Linked DNA regions of Caenorhabditis elegans. The protein of the gene in region 3 interacts with the protein of the main gene of each other region in a pairwise test. Each region holds a gene or a part of one and is shown on either strand. Other genes may lie near its edges.

The links.
Region 1: the proteins of nfm-1 (region 3) and F54D8.6 interact in a two-hybrid assay, tested with the Caenorhabditis elegans proteins (one study listed by BioGRID).
Region 2: the proteins of nfm-1 (region 3) and F59C12.3 interact in a two-hybrid assay, tested with the Caenorhabditis elegans proteins (one study listed by BioGRID).

The regions. Positions count from the first base shown.
Region 1 is NC_003281.10:5,101,116-5,107,526, forward strand, and holds F54D8.6 (C2H2-type domain-containing protein), read left to right. Parts: upstream 1-1,869; 5' UTR 1,870-1,875; coding exon 1,876-2,411; intron 2,412-2,460; coding exon 2,461-2,606; intron 2,607-3,044; coding exon 3,045-3,145; intron 3,146-3,196; coding exon 3,197-3,288; intron 3,289-3,340; coding exon 3,341-3,391; intron 3,392-3,436; coding exon 3,437-3,490; intron 3,491-3,539; coding exon 3,540-3,580; intron 3,581-3,634; coding exon 3,635-3,768; intron 3,769-3,986; coding exon 3,987-4,740; intron 4,741-4,826; coding exon 4,827-4,941; intron 4,942-5,216; coding exon 5,217-5,327; intron 5,328-5,382; coding exon 5,383-5,481; intron 5,482-5,548; coding exon 5,549-5,705; 3' UTR 5,706-5,905; downstream 5,906-6,411. Other genes in the region: Cuticle collagen dpy-17, read left to right, coding at 6,218-6,411.
Region 2 is NC_003284.9:16,603,437-16,611,438, forward strand, and holds the start of F59C12.3 (Angiomotin_C domain-containing protein), read right to left. Parts: upstream 6,089-8,002; 5' UTR 6,084-6,088; coding exon 5,921-6,083; intron 5,871-5,920; coding exon 5,736-5,870; intron 5,669-5,735; coding exon 5,611-5,668; intron 5,441-5,610; exon of another isoform or gene 5,216-5,440; intron 5,104-5,215; coding exon 4,998-5,103; intron 4,954-4,997; coding exon 4,849-4,953; intron 4,804-4,848; coding exon 4,688-4,803; intron 3,931-4,687; coding exon 3,833-3,930; intron 3,714-3,832; coding exon 3,571-3,713; intron 2,620-3,570; coding exon 2,434-2,619; intron 1,932-2,433; coding exon 1,822-1,931; intron 1,721-1,821; coding exon 1,618-1,720; intron 1,367-1,617; exon of another isoform or gene 1,274-1,366; intron 1,068-1,273; coding exon 1,007-1,067; intron 873-1,006; coding exon 782-872; intron 716-781; coding exon 656-715; intron 379-655; coding exon 267-378; 3' UTR 1-266.
Region 3 is NC_003281.10:6,157,629-6,165,161, reverse strand, and holds nfm-1 (FERM domain-containing protein), read right to left. Parts: upstream 5,674-7,533; 5' UTR 5,284-5,673; coding exon 5,062-5,283; intron 4,932-5,061; coding exon 4,716-4,931; intron 4,370-4,715; coding exon 4,151-4,369; intron 4,075-4,150; coding exon 3,940-4,074; intron 3,893-3,939; coding exon 3,758-3,892; intron 3,683-3,757; coding exon 3,380-3,682; intron 3,337-3,379; coding exon 3,187-3,336; intron 3,086-3,186; coding exon 2,998-3,085; intron 2,526-2,997; coding exon 2,255-2,525; intron 2,144-2,254; coding exon 1,969-2,143; coding exon of another isoform or gene 1,957-1,968; exon of another isoform or gene 1,764-1,956; coding exon 1,548-1,763; 3' UTR 1,543-1,547; exon of another isoform or gene 1,536-1,542; intron 870-1,535; coding exon of another isoform or gene 819-869; 3' UTR 577-818; downstream 1-576. Other genes in the region: F42A10.9 (Gamma-glutamylcyclotransferase family protein), read right to left, coding at 263-359, 419-510; anmt-2 (Nicotinamide N-methyltransferase), read left to right, coding at 7,434-7,533.

The DNA.
Region 1 (6,411 bases), 1.1 Mb from region 3:
CGGGCCCGCAGGGCCCGCTAGTCTATTATCATCATTTGATATTATAATAGTTTTCTCCCATTTGGATGATCATCTACAAAATACGCATTGATATCTCAACAAAGGGGTTCTGAATGAATTTTTGTGTAGGCAAGAAACGCTCGCCTGCTTTTAATTCAAAAAATGGATAGTCTCAGGTATCAGGTACAAAAATTCGTCTGAAGACCTGAATGCCAGGGAAGTGTAACTTCTGGTTTTAGCAAAGTTAGCTGGTTGTACGGAATTAATTCAAATTAGTTGAGAAACAGTTGAATCGCCGAGCCAAAATGCAGAAAATAGGTGGTAGGCAGGTATGAGGAGCCTGTAGATATGCCTGCCATCCATGCCCTAAATAAACGTTTTGAAAAACTGCATTTCCGCAAAAACCGTACATCTACTTTGATCTCTCCATTTCCAATTTTCCATGTGATCATCAGTAGCTAGTCAAAAACAATTTACCAAAAGATCAACATATTCTTCAATTTCTCTATAGACTTTCAAAAATCAAACGATTATTATTATTCGTCTTATCATTTTATTTTTACCAGGGCTATGATCACCTTTTTTCTGTATCAGAATTCAAAAAATCAAACTTGAATCGGAAGTGAATGGAAATAAGTTTGCAGGGATTGAATAGTTACTACAACAAATGTTAAGCAGACTCTTACAATAATTATATTAGTCTGTAGACATTCCACCATTGAGCTGTCAAAGAAACGAAGCAGACAGAATTGAAATGTTTAATAACTAGATAAATAAACAAATAATAATCTCATGTATTACAGTTTAATTGATAGATAAAACATAATCATGCACTTTTAAACTTTGCAAATGATAGGGCTACAGTACCCATGATGTCAAACAAATTGCAATTTTTCAATTTCAAAATTGATCAACTATTTCCTTTAAAGGTTTCTGATCACAAAGAAGAAAATCACTCGTATTTTGTACCCGGTCTCGACGCGACAATTTTTTGTAAAATGCGAAAAAGTATGCGCCTTTACAGAGTAATTTCAAACTATCGTTTCGAATTTTCAGAATGCTTGACATTACAATTTAATTTTTAATTTTAATTTAAAGGCGCACACCTTTTCGAAACTAACAAAAAATTAGCGTGTCGAGACCGGATACCGTATTTTTTTTCGCAAAATTTCGTTTCTGGGTTATATGACTTCAATAACTTATAGATACAAACATCAGAAGCTTCCTAGACACAAAATACAGAAAACACATGTTCACTCTTCAAATATACATTTTTATTGTTCTTCCTGTTTCATTAAAAGTGTAAAAACCGAGATGATGATGATATTGATAGTGTGAGATGTAGTTCATAATGATGCTACTAGATAACATCAATGATCGCATTTCACAGATCTACAGCTGAATTATCACCTAATGTAAGCAACGAATATTGCGATTATTGCTCCAAAAATACGGTACCCGGTCTCGACGCGACAAATTTTTGTTTAAAAAAACAGGTGCGTCTATAAAGAGTACTGTAATTTCAAACGTTCGTTTCTGTAGAAATTCCCGTCTGGGACAACAACTTTTCGAAATCCTCGAATAAAAATGTTCAATTTTCTGTTAAAACAATTAGTAGGTAATCTGAAAAAGCCAACAAACAGAAAAGAAGAAATATTCCGAAACTCTTTCCTTGTTGCACATTTTCCAGTTTCTGTGTCTCCGAAAACTCCCATTCCGATAGGCCAGTGCAAGTGCGCTCCATGGCTCTACTGGTTTTCTTCAATGAAACAATTTTATTGATTTCAATATCGTTTCTTTCGTTTTTTTAGTGTTTAATCATATTTTATTCATTAATTATTTAAAAATAAATATTCAAATTTTATTAAATTTCAGATGGAAGAAGAAAATACACCGGAAGTCCAATTTGAACAAGATGAAAACGAGGAAAACACCCTTCAAATCGTAGACAGCGACCTTGTCATCGAGAACTCTGTCACGGAGAATGTTCCCTCAGAAAATCAAGATGTAGAGATGGAAATAGTATCCGATTCGGAAGAACCTCTAGAACCTCCTGTGCCGGTTGCAGTGAATTTTGAAGAAGCACCAGTAGAAGAAGTTCCAGGGGAACAAGAAGCAGTGCTGGTCGAAGAAGAAGAAGAAGAAGTACCTGCAGAAGCAATTGAAAAATCTCATGAACAAAGAGAATCCTTCATGGAAATGTTTAGAATAGCTCCGAGAATTCGAGATATTCTACCAGATTTGCGCGTTTTTATGAGCCATCCGGACGTTTTAGACGAAGATCGGAAAGAAGTTGAGGCTTTAGTAGAGGCAAAAATTCAAGATGAAAAGGCGAAAAAGAAAGCTGAAAAGGTATCGAAGAAAGAAAAAGAAGTTGAAAAACCACCAGTGTCATTGGAAGAAGCTGTTAAGTAGGTTTTTTTAATGCGGAAATTGAAAAAAAAAACAAATATTTTTCAGAACTGTTACCGGAATAGATTTGGCCGCAATACTTCAAAAAATTCCGAAAAATCCTCAACAAATCGCCCCTGTTACAATACCTCCGCCTGTGGTTATGCCTCCGCCTATCGTAATTCCAGGAATGCCAAATGCTCCAGCTGTTACAGGTAAAAATTGAAACTTTTTTTTAAAAAGAATCACAAAAATGCCTCAAATTGGTTCTGTGAAGCTTCAAAGATCACAAATTGTCATCTAATTTGAATTTCGCGCGAAAATGAGTTTTCTATGATACTCGACCGTGTACTCCTCTCGGACAATTAACGAATTAAACTTTTAGATTTTAGACGATTAAAAAAAATGTTTTAGATTTTTTCCATCAGCAAAACGAAAATGATCATATATCCATTTATTTATTTTGAAGCAAAAAGCCGTGCAAAATCATCAAAAACAACCTAAAATCATAAAAATTAATTGATTAATTACCCGAAAGAGGTAAACGGCTGAGTATCAATCTCAAATTCGACTATACCACATTAAAGAAGGAGTTTTTAAAATTAATATAAAAATCTTGCCGCAGAGAGAAAATTTTTTAATACTTTTTTCAGAAGTTCTGAATCTGGTTTCACTGCCGTTAAATGCCAAACCCGTGCCAATCCCAATTGCGTCTTCAGTAATAGCACCCAATTATGCAACTGCGCCACCGATTGTGAGTTTTTTTTTCTAAAAATGTTTTTTTTTCGAATTCTCAAATTTTCAGGCTCTGACAGACCCGAACGTCGCTTCAATTGGACACGGAAAAGCTGGATTTTCTACGCCTCATCCGAATGAAATTCCAATTGAACTAAGACAGTATGTTATTTTAAAAAAAAAACCTTTATTTTAAATATATCTATTTTTTCAGTTCCAAACCAGACATGATTGCTCCAATTCCAGATGAGCTAAGAAATCTTGGGTATGTCCAATTGTATTGAAATTTCTTAACAAAAATTGTTTTCAGTGCCGTTCCAGTTGTTACTTCGATTCCTACAATTCCTAATGAGTTCCTACCTCCGTAAGTGAAATTTCAATTTAAAAAAGTCTCTACAACAAACATTTTTCAGAGAACAACGAATTCTTGGATCGTTACCACTCACTTTTGTTCGTAAGTTTTCCGTGTGAAATATTGAAGAAAAAACTAATTTTTCTCCAAATTAAGGTCCTCCGATGCGGAAATCCCTGTTTCTCTCTGGTGCAAGATCAGGAAAACGATGTGACAGAATTAAAATGCAGAGAAAGAAGGATAAAAAGGAAGTAAAATTGGAAAAGAAGCTGGAAAAGAAGTCAGAGGATGTAAGATATTTTTAAAAATTTCAGAAATGTAGTGATTTTGCTTTGAATTGCACAAAATGACTACAATATTACAAAGAAAAATGTTTTTTAAAAAAGTATATGAGAAGTTTTGGTTCAAAAATGTCGAAAAATCCATTGAGTGGGGAATGTTCATTCGGAAAAAAAAATATAATGACCGATTGTGCAATTTTAGGCCTTTTGTCAAAAAAAAATTTCAGTCTCTGGAATCAGTGGAAAAACGGCCCCGTGGCGGACATAGAGGTCGAGCTGGTGCAGGCAGATCAAGCTTTGAAGCAACAGGAATGAATGCTCTTCCTCAAGGACTCAACAAGAATTCTCCGCTTGCTGTTAAACGTTATCATGCTCGTCAACTTGCCAAAGAAACTGGAATGACATTGGAAGAAGCTATGGAAGAAATTGAAGAACAATGTAATGCATTTGGAGGTGAAGATACTCCAGAAGCAATTGAACACGATACAAAACTTATGGAAATGATTAAGAAACGAGGTGATGAACATTGGAATCAACGACATAATTATACACCTGTTGATCATTCGAAAGGAATTCCTGGAGTCGATAGACCACCTGGTGGTAATAGGGATCGTGGTGAAAAGGTTCGGAGCAAGTCGCCAGTTACAGGAGTTGATAGACCACCAGGTGGAGACAGAATTGAACGAAGTAGGGATCGAGAACCGGGTGGTGGTGTTCCTGGGGTTGATCGGGCGCCAGGCAGAGGATCTCGTGGAATCGATCGCCCACCTGGAGGTGATTCTCGTGGTGTTGATCGACCACCTGGAGGTGGAGGAATTCCTGGAGTAGATCGGCCACCAGGAGGTGGAAGGCGCGGAGTTGATAGACCACCAGGATCTGGAATGCCTGGAATCGATCGGCCACCTGGAGGGGATCGAATGGGTGATAAGCAAAGAAGAGGAGCGAGAGGAGGTGTTAAGGAAAGAGAAAGAAAACGAAGAAGTAAGTTTATTCAACCTTTATTCCACGAAAATTCGAAATCCTTATGTTTTTTTTTAAATATTTTTAAATAACGCTTTATTTTTCAGGAGATGAATTCCAGCGAGGAGGTGGTGGTGGTGGCCGAGGCGGTGGCCGTGATGGTGGAAGAGATTATGGTGGTCCTCCGCAAAAATCTGGGCGACGTGATCGATATGATGATTAGTGAGTTCAGCAATGAGCAGAGATATAAAACACATTGAGAAAGTATACGAAAGCCCCTTTTTCTCAGCTATCTCGGAAAGTAACTTTACTTTCAATTGAAATTTTCGAAAATTTGCTCTAAAACTGACTCAAATAATGCCGATCGACACTTCACGACTTTGAGGCAGTTTGTCAAAAACTTCTCGAAGCCTTCAATTAAACATAAAAAAGTATTTGTGACTATTCGCGTTTCGAAACCCCAAAAAAATTTCAATTTTTCAAAATCTCGATTTCAGCGATCGATCGTATCAAGGAACAAGTGGATATGGACAAGATTATGATTCACAAACATATGGAGAACGTGGTTACGATGGACATTATCAAGGACAAGAGGATTATTATGGAAGGTAATAAAATTAAATATTTTAAAATGAAATTAATTAAATTTAATAAACGTTTCAGTCAAGAAGGATATGGAGAATATAATCAGCAACACTACGGTGAAGGATACGATCAACAAGGATATGGGCAAAATGGAGATTCATATTATGGACATGAAGGGTAAGGAAAATCACTTTTTTAATTGTTTGAATTGTATTTTTATTCAAAAATAATTACCTATTTTCAGCCAAGATGCATCGACATATTACCAAGAAGATGGCAGTCAATACTACAATCAATACTACGGTACTGCTCCTGCAGAAGGTGAAGCTTCAGCTGTAACTGGAACGGATTATCATGCAACATTCAGTGTACCACCACCACCGGCTCCCCCTCCGTCATAAATTTAAGAATTGGGAAAACTAAATATTTTTGAATCAAAAAACTTCCTTTTTCAATATTTTCTTCAATTCTTTCCCGATTTCTTTCAATTTCAATAGTTGACTTTTATTTATTTTTAATTTATAAAATTTCTTATATTCTTCTTCCTCCTTCTATTGTATGAATATTAAAAACAGGTCCTTCGACCCGAAAAATCCCCTTCTCAAATCTAGGTCATCATATCGGAGATAACGGACAATTATGCATAATATTCGAGATGATTATCATATCGGTCATATGAGGGGGCGGAGTCTCGCATACAGTAGTCCTTTGTCCTTGTGCGAGGGAGTTTATGAGTATAAAAGGGTCCCTGAGAGAGGAGAAATGGACACTTTTATCAAAACATTTTCCATCTTTGTTTATTTTGACGATATTTATTCGCTGATACGAATTTTTGCAATTTTTATCCCGGATACCGTATTTCTTGGCAATTCAGATTACGCGCAAATTCTAGAATAAACATGTTTTCCAGATCATGTCAGTGTTCGCGGGATATGCCGCGTGCACCCTCGGTGCCGTTTCGATGCTTCTCTGCGTCTCTCTTGTCCCACAAGTCTATCAGCAAGTCTCGATGCTCCGGGACGAGTTGACGACTGAAATGGAGGCATGGCGTCTCGAGTCCGATCAAATCTACATGGATATGCAGAAGTTCGGACGTGTCCGTCGTCA
Region 2 (8,002 bases), on a different chromosome or scaffold from region 3:
TATTGCAACTAGCAAAACACATGGCCTTTTTGAATGAGCTTATGAAGCTGATGGAAAAAATACAAGTACATCATCTAAACTGGCTAAAAATTAAAAGAACAAAACTACATACAAATTGTATTAAGAGGAATGGACTTTGGAAACTTGAATTGAAAAATAAATTGAATTATGCATGTAACAGAAAGTAACAAAGAAGGAAAGTGTGTTGTTGGTAGCGTGTTTGTAAATAATAAATAGAATTTCGATGACTAGTGCATGAGGAATATTCAAGAAAATTGGTTATCCGCAAGTATTGACTTGTTATTGTTACTATTTTTGAACATATTGTAAGGAATTGGAGCAGTCGGTACAGGGTCGAATGATGATCCAGATGATGATCTGCAACTTTTTTTGTATAGTTTGTTACTTTTGAAGATGTTTATCGAATCGTAATAGATTCTGGAGCTAGTATTTTCAGCTTGACCTATGTGTGTTTCTAGAAAGTATTCAACTGAAAATTTTATACTCAAAAACTAACTTAAAAAGGAACTTACAATTAGAGAAAAGTTCAAGATTCACTGTAGTTTTGCTTTCGTTCAGAAAACTCAAATTTTGAGTACTTTTTGCAAAGTTTCCTAGGAAGAAAAAACAACGGTCTCATAATTTTTTGTCTCACCTCCGATGAAGAGAATTTTGCATCAACGAGCCCGATGAAGTTCTTGCATGTTCTGATAGCCTGGAATATGGGAATTAAGGAAATTATATTTGATTTATTTGAGCAATTAATAAAACTGCGTCTTACCCTCCAGTCACGCCCATTCGACCTTTTTTCTTCCTTTCCTGTATTTTCTGTCTAATTTCCTCCATTCTACTCAGTGCCTCGTCTCCGCTGTCTGGAAAAAAAGAAAAGAAATGAGAAAAAAAAGGAGAGAGGAAGAAGAGTGCTCTTTTCACATGCCAAAAGAAATGCAGTCGACGCTTCCCCCTTTGCCTTTCTTTTTTCCCGACTAGGGCTTCATATACTCACTTTTATCTACCATTGCTGCATATTTGTCCCGCTCCGACCTCAGTTCGTTGATGATCAGATCCTAAAATTTATCAATTATTCATCGAATATGCCCGTTGTAATTTGTGAGCTCATTTCAAAGTGTGTTTTCTGATGTTCTCTATAATAGAAATAAAGCTCATTTCTAGTATATCAAATATCAGAAACATTTTTATTTATTCTAGGCGCGATAATTAAATATACCAATCTAAAATTACTCTCTTGAATTAAACTCCCAAAGTTATTAGGCAAAAAGATTCTCCCCGGCCGGGAATTGAACCCGGGTCTCGCATGTGACAGACGCGGATACTCACCACTATACTACCGAGGACACGAAAGAGAGCGGTTGTTGAGGCTTTTATAAACTGGGTTTATGACCGAAAATTTAGTGCTATATAGTATATGTAACAATAAATTATGTTAATATGTATAAGGGGCAACTGGGAAACTTTAAACAATTTATTGAAAACATTTTCTGTGAGAAAACACGTAACCTTGAAAAGTAACGTCTCTATTTTTGAAAAGATCCCTTATAAATGTTTTCACTTGTTTTAAATTTTGTATAAAAAATTTAGCAGCAGTTCTTGCCTCACCTTTTCATAACTCTCCTCTTTCAATTTGTCCACCTGGGTTTCAAAGTTGTCAGTTATTGTTGCAAGAGTTGACTTCCGTTGCTCAGTTTTGTCACCGTGAGTTCTAAAAAAAGCTTTTTCAATTCTGCTCTCCATTTCCGTTTTCGGCTCAGTTCTTCAACAAACGAAGAGAATAAAAGAAGAGAGAAAGAAAAAAAAACAAACTTTCGCAAATCGTTCACCATTCTTTCGAGTTGCTGAATCTTGTCGTCTTTTGATTGAATGCTCTTTCGCATTCGAATAAGATCCTCTGTGCTGCCGGGAGTAGTGGTTCGCTGCAAAATTGATGATTATGCAAATGAGTAGTGGTTAGTAATTCCATGAGTAATTCTATAGATGTTCTGGCATGTTCTATTTCAGGGCTTATGTACTACTATGTACAAAGACGGCTTAGACGGCAATATCTAGGATAAGATTGTTATAGAAGATAAACTAATAATAATAGTTTATAATTTTAATTTCCAGTAAAAAAATTATGAGATGCTAGAAAAATTTTTAATTCTCCATTTTTTAATGGTATATATTAGAAAAATGATGACGCTCTTTAGACCCTCTGCAAACGTTTTCAAATGTACTAACCTATAGGCGTCCCATCTAATTTTCAGAAAAAAAATACTGAGACCGGTGCTGATCTATATCAATAAAACTTTCATTACCGGACATTTAACCCCATAATCGGGAACCGGTTCAAATGTTGTCGCCCCCCCCCCCCCTTTTCCTAGCACACCCCACATTACTTTCATTTACTACTATTTCTCTCCCTGTTTCGAGACAAACCTTAAGACTTCCAGTGAGTGATGTGTCTTTGTTCAATTGCATTCTTAGCTGAGTCTTCTCCATTTCCCACTGAGCCCGTTCCGACTCAACCATCTGATCCCTCCGATGTTGTTCTTCCCATACTTCGTTTAGTTGCTTTCGCAGCTCATCAGCGTGTGCCACTACAGCGGACAATTCTTCGCATTTCTAGAAAAAGTGTTTCTTATTGAATTTTAATTTCAAAAAAAAGATAACGTACTATCAAGAAAACAGTTTTGATTTGGGAGCTTTAAAAAATATTTTTAATGTAAGTTAAGAAAGCAAAAAACATTTTTTAGAGAAGTCCGGAAGTGCAAGGTATATTGCAAAGTTAAATTAAAATTTGAATTTCGCAATATTTTTTGAATATGAATGCAAAAGTAATGGTACATAACTATTTGAGTGCCTTTAAAATTACCTTGAAAATAGAAAAAAAATTGATAGACAAGTTCTGAATGTTTCTAAACACAGCACGTTTTCAATTGTTGTTTGTATCACATGGAAGTTTTTTTTCATTTCTTATTTTCCCACGTCAGTTTGCAAATTTTTTTCGCGTTTCACTTTTATTCATTATTATATCAATTGGAGTGTCTCATCAAAAACAAAAAAAATGAGACAACTGTTAAAAATCTATTTCAAGTAAAAATTGATTTCCGGCTAGTGAGACAATTTTTTATTTATTTTTGGGTTGTCTCGTTATGAAGTCATGTTGATCAAAATCCTTAAAAACCGAAAAAGTGGCCAAAGGTGACCAAACCTGGCCACCAATGGGCTCTAAATGTACCATAATCAACGAAGTGAGATCATAATTCAAAAACTTCAATTTCCGACTACTGCGACACGGTAAAATATTCTAAATTAGAGATTTTAGCTAACAGTCAGGAAAAAAAAATTTTAAATTTTTGGAGAAGTTTCATTACGAATTTCGTTCATTTGAAAACATTTTTAGTCTATATGTTCAGAAATTCTCCATATTCACAAAATACCCAAACAACTGTTCACTTTTATCAAAAGTACACTGTTGTGGTCCTATACTTTTGTTCTCCCCCCATTTTCCCATAAATAAATTGGAAATGTTATCCATTCCGCTCAGCACATTCTCCCACAAATATTCCATACTTTTTCCCGCTTCGCCAATCTCTCTTGTGAATTGGCGAGTGCCTTCTCAAGCATTGCAATATGATTTCGTTGCTCCTCCAACGTCTGATTCTGTGCCTCAATCTCCATTTTTTGCCGCTCTTTGCATGCGAAGAGTTCTTGCCCTGAATCGGAAAAAAATCAATTGTATAAGTATTTTATTCGTTTTTTTTTTCATATTTCTCATTCTGCTTCTCTGTTTCCAGTTCTATTGTATCAAATTTATTTCTTTTTTTCTCCTCACTCTGCTGAATTTCGTTTAACATCAGGTTCGCCACCATCGTTGGTTCAGTACTTGCTTTTTCCAGCCGCATTTGCAAGTCGTCTCTTTCGATGGTAAGTCTGAAACTAAGATTTTTAGAAGATAATGGATTTTCCTGTTGATTGGATGTTTGTTTGATATATTGCCGCTTGTCAGTTTTTTTTTTGGATAAACTTTTTAAAATAAAAATATTGTAAAATTTCAGAAAAATATGCCCGTGTAAAACTTTGTATGAAATAAGCTTTTTTTTGCTTACTCGGCATTTGGTTCTGGCTTCTTGCCCAACTTTGTCCTACAAAATATCAACATGGATTGGCGCAACTTGGCCAAAAGTTAGGCAAGACTTCGGCAAAAATTACACCAAAGTTCAACACAAGTTTCACCCAACTCTCGCCAGACTTCTACCAAAGTTTGAAACGAAACAAGAAAAGTTTGGGCCAAAGTTTGGCAAGAGTTGGGTTTAAAGTAGGGTAAGAGTAGAGTTCGGCTTTGGTTAAACTCTGGTGCAGTCTCAATCCTTTTTCTCAAGTTTAGCCAACTTCTAAGCCAAGTTAAGATTTTTTGGGCCAAACTTGGGCAAGTTGCAAGAGCCAAATGCGAAGAGTATTTTGCCCAAGTTTGTTTAATCAAATCATTATTGTTGTGAACTTCAATGATATTAGTTGTGTTCAATGTTTGTCTAGTTTGCCCCAAACAACAAAAAAGTGCTGCTCGTGAATTTTGTGAAATAGTTTTCAATTCATTTTTAAATGGAAACTTTTTTATATTGCCTTCATTAGATATAAATATCAGAAAATTGTTGTCTCTTTTTACCGACAAGATTTTCAACCAACTTACTTTTTTACAGACTTTTCCAATTGAATAATCACGTTCAGCTCTAAATTTTCTTGCTTTTTTCGTTCATTTGCCAAGTATTCGTATTCTTTTTCCAGTCGAGCATATGAGTATTCAATCTGCAAGCATTTAGGTTTCCCACTATTTTGAAACTTCCAACAAACCTGTTGTAGTTTTGAAAGACTGCGCTTGAAAGCGTCGAGCTCTTTTTTCAAGTGCACATTCTCCTCGCGGAGAATTTGAATGAGCTTCTGGTTGCTGGATACTCCCTAAAATAATTGTTTGTTTTGCTGTTGCTTGTTGAAGTTCTTACTCTGTTAGTTTGGCTCAATGTGGGGACGTCAAGTGCTTGATCTCCAGATGCAGATGCCCTACGCTGATAGGCAGATGTGCTCATTTTTGATTCATTTGGGGGAATACTGAAATTATTAATGTTTAAAAGAAGAAGGTCAAGCTTTTTTTTGTAAAAAAAATATCTCAGGAAAAATGTTGAGTTTGTCAAAAAAGTTTGTTTGTTTTTTGAAATGCAACTTGAAAGTAGGAAGTTTTAATTTTAGATAATCGTTTAGCTAAAAACCTGTGCGGAAGTTGTTTAAAAGTTTTTCCATACGAATATAGTGATTAAATATAAAAATGAAACTCTTGTTATAATTTTTGAATTTTTTATTCACAAAAAAAAAAGAGAGAAATCTAGCAATTTTTCAGTATTCGTCACTTACTACTTATTAAATTCACCAAAATGTTTTCTACGATTTTTATAATTTTATAAAATGAAAAAAAAAATGCTACAAATTTCCTTATTTAAAAAGTGTGGCTGAAATTAATGCATAGTGGGAAACACTGTGGATAAAGTTATTGATACATTCAAAAAAAATTTTACAGTTTACCGTATAACGTTTCAAAAACATCATAAAACCAATACTTACTCTGACGATCTTGATCCACTCGCAATAAGACATGGCTGAGAATGACTGATAGGTGATGCTGAAATAATATACTATTTTCATCAATCCACCAAAAACAGAAAAAAAACAAAAAATGTCACACGCACGTCCTGCACTTCCATGTAAATCCTTCCGGCTGTTTGCTCTTTGCATGTTCATTTCAAGCTGATATTTTTCGAGCATCTTCTGCAACCGCTTCTCGTCGTCATCCTTGCTTTTTGTTTGAGCCTGGTGGTTCATCACTGAAAAATAGTTTTTCGAATTGCAGGACCCCTGGTTCGATATTGCTCACCACTCGCTTTCAGACTTGGATTCAACTGAGCCTCCTTTAGAAGTGAGTCTAAAATGTTCGTCTCTCCCTGATACATGGGTGTCGGTGGCACTGCATGCACTCGTCGCTGATCCGATGATGTGCCATCCGACGAGCGCGGATCTATCACGTCCCCTCGATTCATTCACCCTGAGATTAGTTTCGATTAAATAGTGAATCATCAAGATTGAATGTAGAACGAGAAAAAAATAGGTGAGAAAAATTAGACATTTATTTGGGTGCTAATATGGCAATCATACCTAGAAATATTTAATCAATAACGTAATTCTCACGTGGTCATTTTTCAACTAAACTACATGAAGCTAATACTAACATGAATTTTAACTTCACATCTTGAATGAATGAATATTTTGAATGCAAATACAAACGTGGTGTCAGGCCCACGGTGTCAGGCATTACGGTTTCATCTACAAAAAATGCGGGAGTTTTTCAATCGAAAAAAAATTGACGCCAGCGCGTTCTTAACCGTGCAAAATCAGTTGAGAACTCTGCGTCTGAACTCCTGCATTTTTTGTAGGTCTACGTAGATCAAACCAAAATGAGACACATTGACGCCACAAGAATACATGAAAAAATGATACAAAATTATATGTATTCTGGAAAAAAATTAAACAAAACTAAACCATGAATATTGTTGCCAGTGCAACATGTTCCCAAATTTTACGAATGATAAGAAGACACTTCGTGAGCTAATACATACAATGTAGAAACATTTTCATTAGTTTAAAATTGAATTAAATCTAATTTGATAATATACCAATACTCTAAACTGTAAGACCAAACTAAAAGTGACAATTTCTGGTATAAGTCACAAATACTCAACAACAAAAAACTAACACAAACCCGTCTCGGGCGGTCAAACGCAGTTTCGATTAAACTACACTAAAAGGTTTCAAGTGACCTGACCCGAAATGCAAGTTCCTAATTATATAATTACACGCGTTCGTGTGGAAGACCTTCTTTCCAAAATCGTTTAGTTTAGTTCTGATTATCGCGGCTTATCCGTGTTAATCTCTGACGTGGTCGAAATCCAAAATGAAGAAACTTATGTTTTTGCTGTTTTTTCCAGTTTTTTTGTTTTTGAATCATGTGTACTGAACAACAAATGGGCAGGATGAAAAGCAAAATATGATGAAGCTAGCCGAAAACATAAACAATAGAAACAAAAACTTCGAAACAAAAATATGAGGAAAGAGAATATGTTTTATATGACGAATTTTTTTAAAACTATTTTGATATTTAATGTGTAGTTTTTCGTTTAATAATTTTAGGTATGGTATGTTTTGTATCAATTTTGCACCCCATGGTATTTTTCATGGATCTTCTATGATTCCCAGCGTCTTCAAAATGCTCGTATAATTTTGTTTCTAAATGTGCACATTTTTGTTTGAATCCTACGTAAATTCCAGTTTTGTATATTGAATTTCAAATATAAACAGTCAAAAAATGGTATTGCAAGAAATACTGCAATGAAAAACACAGTAGTTCTAGGAATTACGAACAAAAATTAATTCGTCGGTTTATCATCTTGTAGAATTGGATTTTTGACTTCTGATTTTTTTAAATATTTTAGAATCTTTTTCGATTTTACTTACTTACTTAGTTTTACCTAGTTTTATTTAGTTTTATTTGGTTTTATTTTATTTTTTCTTTGATACTGAGTTTTATCGAATTTTCACATAAATTGCTTTAAGTTTCCTTGAACAAATCATTTGAAAATCATCAAAAGTATTTTAGGATCATTTTATGCGTTAGTGATTATTGATTTAATATATGGGTTATTGAATAGAAAATGCCAATTTTTTGATTCTATGTGACAATTGGTTTCTTTCTTTGTGATAGCAAATTAAAAAAATATTTCAATGTCATAATAATTAACTAGAAGCTTCAATAATGAACTATGAATAGCATATAAGTTTGAAATCTATTGATAAAAGATTATCAACAAAAAAGAAAAGAGTTAAACCATGTAAAACTTTTAGTCAAGTGTTAGAAATGTGTTGATTGAGTAGCCCCTCTCGAGACGCGAGTAAGAAATCGATT
Region 3 (7,533 bases):
TCACAGTCCCCGGATTCAAGGAAAGAAAAAAATTTCAAAGATTTTGAATACCAAAAAAATTTCGGATCTAAACAAGTTTTTGGCATTTATACTCCCTTTAAACCGTGCGCATAATCATTTTTCTGTTTCTTTCTTTAAAATTTCCTTATTCATCTTTGTTTCCCTGCCAAAGCTGATTCCGTTCTCGTTCTTTTTTTTTAATTACTTGTCAATATGCTTCAAAGTACGTCGGTTTAAATAAACTTCAGGTTGTAAAACTCACATTTCCATTCCCAGCATCATCAAGCAAAAATGGAATGTTATATTTGGTTCCAACTACCAATGGGAACTTTTCCACTGTAGTTCCAGATGAGATGAATCTGAAAGAAGTAATGCATCACATTTGACACTCAAAATTCTTCAGTACTCCCGAACTTACCGATATTCTCCGTCAGTTTCTGACAGAACCTTGTAGTTTGGCTCTCCTGTTTTCAGGGTTCCATACACGAAAACCTTGAATTTTTCGCCCATTTTTGCTGGAAATGAATTAATAAATTACAGATTTTTTCATTATTTTAAGTTAATAAAAAAACATTTAAAAAAAATCTGTATTCATCAATCATTCGATATGTATATTTACACAATATGCCTTTCGGAAAAAAGAAGAAAAATACGCGTTTTTGTCTTGCCACGAAAGATTATTGATTGAAAAATGGCAAAAGGGTGTGGAAAAATCAATAAACTGAATGAGCACAAAATGGGGTTATCTCTTATCGGGATGGGGAAAAACTGAAGAAAAAAAAGGAAAATCGGTTCATAAATGGCCATAAAGTTTCTTATCACATTCCATCAAAAGCTTGTGCTCGTTGTCGTGGAGTTCCTCGCATACTCTGAAATTATAAGAAAATTATAATTGGAAAATGAGAAGAATAATCAATCAATACCACACTAATGTTCATTTCAAAATTTGAAAAATCACAACAAAATACACCGACGGACAGGTTTGTGAAATTCAAAGATATAGTTTCACTAAAAAATGTGTGATTTTTTGAATCAATTAATAAAATTAATAAAGTCTTAGCGCGAGCGAAACTTTTCAGATACCGTACCCTGGGTTTTGCTTTTTCTTGTTTCTTTCTATTTTTAAAAATTTTTCGAGTTTTTGTTGTGAAAATCTTATTTTCCCTGAATAGGTTTACTACAAAAACATAAAAACTCAAGAAAAAGAATTTCCAAATAAACGATGGAACGTCTACTATTGGATACTGTAGCGGAAAAAATAATCTCGTGTCAGTACCCGACGTAACGATTGCGCTCTAAGAAATATTTTTCGCGCTGCGTTCATTGTTGCGATTCCTGATTTTTAAATTTTAAGTCAAAAAAAAACAATTACAGTGTGCATATTATTGAATTTATTCATAGAGCGCTTGAACCATGAATGTTTATTTTCAACTCTAACAAAAATACCAATCAACAAGTGTTAGAAAACAATAATTGGAAAATTAGTCAATATGCAAACACGCTCTACCACACAACAATCAAACTCTGGCACTATTTTCTCACTATATTCAAATGTCAGCTTCCTGCCATTCAGTGTTTCCCAAATCATAAGACTGCTGTCTATGCAGCATCATGACGTGGCTCAGAATACTTGACGAGCTCGTAGTGGATACTGTAGAGACACGTGGAATCCCTCGTCCCGCCACATGTCTAGCGACAGTATTGAGCTCCAAGGAATCGGAGGAACCCGATGAGCCAATTGAGCTTGCGCTTTTTGATTTTTTCTGGAGATATTCCGAAGTTAAGCGTCAAACTTACAAATGCCAAACGCGCGAAATTTTAATAAATTAGAAGCTTAACATATAATAGAATAGGATGAAAAAGAGATTTAATAACTTTTTGAACTTTTGACCTTCTGATCATGAGATCAGCTTAGTAACCGTTCAGAACGGTAGCATGCTAACAGAACTTGCTAAATTATCTACTTACCATTCTCATCGTCGTGAACTTATCAAAACCGTGTGCCACATTTTGTGCATGAACCGCATCATGCTCTCGATGCTGCCCATTTTGTACATTACCGTCTCGTTTCAGGCCGTCAATATCGCCACGTAATTCTTCCAGGTGCTCCTTGAAGATTCGCGCTCGTGTTTCGTATTCTGACCTGAAAAAATTTCTAATGTCACATACTATTCTCTATTAGGATTGTACCTCCATTGCTCAACTCTGCTAGCATATAATTCAGTTATCCTTTTTTTTTAATTACCAAACTAACCTTGATTTTTCCAACTCCATCAGAGTAGTCTGTTGCTCGAAAATCTGACTAATTGAAGGATCGGGTGGTGGAATAATCATACCAGATCCTCCGTAATATGGCGGTTGATTCTGATTTTGAACTTGAGTTTGTTGTTGATGAGCTTGAGTATTTTGAGACATTTGTTGTGGTTGTTGATGAGAAAGTGGTTGATTTGAAGGAATTGGGGAGGAAAATGCAGATGATGGCATATTCAGACTTCGAGACATCATTTGTTGAGGATGAGTGTGTGCTGAAAATGTTGTTTCCGTATAAATATAATCATATTTTTCTTATTTCTTATTTCTAACAAGACGTGGATTGGTCAAAAACAGTAGCAACTTGGCTTGCGATTTCATTCCCAAATTGGCATTACAAACAATAAATTAGTTTACAACTAGACACATTCTCATTTGAAGATCTTGAATTTATAATATCATTACCAAAATATTTTTTAGTGTTCTCTTTTTTGAGGCAACTTTGCAAATACCTGGCTGTGAGAAAATGTTGAAGTTACATAATCAAAAAAAAATTCGATAAACTGATTAGGGGGTCGGTTTTTATTATGTGATCTAGACTTTTTTGACTCGGCAAACTTTTATTCTTAACTTTTAAACATAGTTTTACGCCCATTGCCAAAATTATCATGCAAAAGTTGCTATAGATATTATACTTCTATACTATTTTGGAATAGACTTTTTTATTGTGCCTTTAAAAAAACTAACTGTCAAGTGATTGCAGTTGATGAAATGATCCTGTTGATGGCATACCAGGATGACCTGATTGATGACCAGATACTTGTTGATGCCAATTCTGAAAGTTTCTAAACCGTATTAATCGAGTATATCCTCTATCAATCCCATTACGGTTTTGTCAAGATTTACTCAAAATGGGAAGATTTTCCATTAACTTACCGGATCAATAATCAACGCAGACTGACTCGAATACTGTGTCATTTTCCGATTCGCGTCAAGGCTTACATCTGCTAGTGACATTGACATCTGCTTTGCCAAAATCTCAGCTTCCCGAGCTTTTCGTTCCATTCTCAACAGAGCTTCTTCGGACTGAAAATTAAACTTTAATTTCATAATTAATTTGATTTTTTACCTTCATATTATTCATACTTAATCGATTACATTCAGCTTCAACTTCACTTTTTTGCTTGTACAACATCAAAGTTTCATGTTCACTGTGTCGTGCCTTCTCTGCTAATTGATCATTCGCTTCTTCTGCCTTTCGTATATTTTCTTGAGCTTTCATTAATTCCAAAGTCATCACTTCAACTTTTTGTTTCATTTCCTTATATTCTTTTTCCATTTGCTGCCTCTCTTTTCGTTCCAATGCAACTTTTGCTTGTTCTGCTGCTCGACGTTGCTTGTCTTCTTTTGCTTGTGATCTCATTTGTTGAACCTGAAATATACAGTTATCATTTCGTAGAAAACTGAATAGAAATTTTCAAGTTGCCCTACTATAAAAGACACATACCTCTAACGTGTCTGGCTGCCTCCTCCTTAAATACAAATTGTGTGTTCCAATGCAAAGATCCAATATTGAAGAATCAATTGATGTCTCTCGTGATCGAAATGATATTGTGGATTTGTCGACGGTTTTCATGTGAAACTGAACGTACAATGGAAATCGTGAAAAGAAAATTTTAAAAAAATTACCTTTCGATTCTTAAATTGAATATTCTTAATCTCACTCCAACTAAAAAACGGCCGAGGTGTTATTCGATTCACTCCCTTATAGATTCCCAACCCTTGAGCGGATATACCAAGATGTAAGTCAGTTTCTTTGTTATTCTGAAAATAAATAAAATTATGTATCTCAAATTCAAATGTCCACAACCGTTCAAACAGAATCTCTCAAATAACTTACACAAATAGGATAATATAATATTCCATACATCTCCAAATCCTGTGCAACTCTCAAATACTCAAGTTCAGCTTCTTCTCTTGATTGTCCTGCATTCCGTGACCACCATCGTTTTATTCGATCTCTCCACATATCAGCACTCATATCATATTGATCAATCACACTTTTTGGTAAATGCTTGTCAAGATCAATTGGACCAACTTCTTCTGTACAGTCGCCATGCTGAAAATTAATTCGTTTTTACTAGATTTTGAATAAAGTGTATATAGATAGTTTTTCAGAAACATTTTCAGGCACTTGAAAATGTTTTGCCAATTTTTCTGGAAGAAAATGGGATTTTCAAATACTCTTCAAATATCCTTTCTGAAAATTTTAGATTTTCAAAATTTTACAGCAAAAGTTTTGGTAAATTTCGATATTGTAATTCTCAATTTTTCAGAAATATATTAAAAATTTTATGAGTGATTTTAAACACTTTCTCAACTGACGATCTTTTAAAAGTTCAATAAAGGAATTTAAATGGCATTTTCATATTTTGTAAAACCCAGTTAAAATACAAAAATCTTACCATTGCTTGAACTGCAAAACTGGCCAATAAAACACTTGCTTCAGGTGAACAATATAGATTCATTGAAAGTATTGCTTCTCGTATTTGTAAAAAGAACAAATGTCTAGTGGCATCTAGAATAATCTCAGGTTCCACGTCTTCTGGATAGAATTTGACAAGAAATAAGAAATTAAAAGTTCCATCAGATGTGTCTTTTTGGATGTCTTGGCCACAGATCTGGAAAATTTCAAAAATTAATTATTTTCAGAGAAATTATTTTTCCCAAAATATTTTAATTTGATAATTAGAATTTGGTTTTATTGTTGGAAATACCGTATCCCCAAAAATGTATTCAACAAAAACTCACAGTTTTATCATTCTGTAACCAACATGGAATATTCTTTTTATTTGTGAACTGTAGTCCAAAATACCAAGTTTCCCGTAATCCAATAATTCGACAAACTGCTTCAAATAAATGTCTTCCTGTCCATGTTTTCTCAATTACAATCTTCTCCAAATCAGCATCCATTGTGCTCACTTTTGCGTAAATGGGCTTCGTGTTTCGCGAAAATATCGAAAATCCACCCATTGCTATTTTTTGGAATTTTTGTAGGTGAAATTAGCCTGGAAGTTTAAGAAAAAAATAATACTAGCAACTATTATTCATTTCTGAAAAAAGACCGTTGTCTGCACATGAACGTATTGCACGTATTTTCTTTCCGTCAAGTAAGAACAACATCCAAAAATTCAGATACTAAAATTGCTTTTTTAGTTTCTTTGAAAATAAAAATTTCAGATAGTTTCAGTTTGAGGCAATTAGAAAATAACGTGGATTCCAATATTTCCGTTTAAAACTTCGGAAAGTTAGAAAAGTTCTATAGTCTCCGAAGTACTGAATTGGTTTCTCTAGGGTGAAAAATCAATAATGAGATGAAGCCCATCTTAAAAAAAGTATGTTAAATAGTTAAGAAAAGTGAAGAAAATCAATGTAAGTACGCCCCAGGGCAAATAGTGTTGTAACTGTATAGGTATCTGCGTCGAGGAACTCTATGCCAACTGTCTGTCTCACAAGAAGTGTTAGAACATATGAGAGGAAGGAGAGGCATTGGAACTAACAACAAGAGAAGATGATTGGAAGAGAGGACGAAACAATATTTCAACACTCATAATGATGATAGGTATGGAATCCCAGGTGCATTCATTGAAGAATAACTGATAAAAATATTGAAGAACAATGATTCAATGCCCCCAACTGATATGACGCATTGTGAAAATATGTGGCCTGGTCTCGTGTGAACAAGAATTTTCAGTTTTTCGATAAATAAAATAATGTCAACACGCCCTTTCCTCCTCCATCGTTTTTCTCCAAATGGTTTCGATACAAAAGTTACATCGACTGACGAGATTCAAAAAGATTCGCAGTCAGCAGGATTCGAACCTACGCGGACAGAGCCCATTTGATTTCGAGTCAAACTCCTTAACCACTCGGACATTCTTAACCACTCGGACATGACTGCACGTTTTGGTTTATTATCAAGTATATTTTCATTTTGTACAATTTCGAAGTTACAACGAAAAAAATGTGCGAAAAAATTGAAAAAAATTTAACGCAGTCAGCAGGATTCGAACCTACGCGGGCAGAGCCCAATTGATTTCTAGTCAATCTCCTTAACCACTCGGACATGACTGCACGACGAACCACAACTTTCGTGGCCTAGACATGCCGGGTGTTACGCATAATAGGAGGAGGGGATGGGGAGAAGTGGTCAATGGGGGGAGATGAAAGGGGGAATAGGGACAGTATAGAAAAATTCACACAATCGGTATTTTTCGATTGACTTATTATTATATTTTCAAAAGAGACATCAGTGTGAAGTGGGGCGCACTTGTGTAAGCAAAATGGCCAACAAAAATTCGAAAACTTCAGTAACTTTTCGATTAACCTCCCTATTCCTTTGAAGTCATATAATTTTCGAATGAAGTTTAAGTACATTTTTTCCATATTGAAAATTCAAAAATTCCAGAAAGATGAAATCCAGAAAAATGTTTCGAAAGTACAGTGTACTGATAGTGAGCTACAGTACAATTTTCGTAAGTACGCTCGATGGAACCTACTTTCCCTTAAATTTACAGTAACGCATTAAAGTTCTGCAAAGTTTCATAACCAATCTGCCAAAAAACTTCCTCATAACATAATTTGTTGTTTCCCATCTTTCCACTTTGCTCTTCGTACTCTGTGCCTGCTCCCACTGTCTGGCTCCCAACACTTCCTGCCGGGAGCCTCGGGAAATCCCTTCTTCCCTCTCTCTCTCTCTATCCTTCTCTCCCAGAGCTCCGAAAAAATAGGCGGAGCCAGAGCACACACTTATGCTCTCGCTCTCTGTGCAAGAGCCACCTCACTCAATTTTTGTGCTACTTCGAGAGTGTCGATGCCTCATTTGTTAATTGTTTGTTATTTGATGATGATAATGAATTGTTGTATCGATATTTAATTGCACTCTGCGTGGGTGTTATCACTTAAATATTAGAGTTTTTCTGGAAAAAAGGAGTAAACTTAAGAATTTTGGAGATTTTGAGGGAAAAACAAACATGTGAAAAGCGGAAGAAAATAGAGATATACATAGACTTTTAAAAGTGCTTTGTTTCCTTGTTATATTTCTGATTTTTTTTTTCAAAAATTTGGACTCAAAAAAATTAAAATATTTTCAGTGTCGTTTAATCTCTTATTTATACCTCGTCATGTCTACTCTCATCGACCCTACCATTACGGAATCATCGGATGCCCAGCATACTGTACTTTTGCCTGAGGACTACGTCAAGAAGTTCGATCCTGATGAGT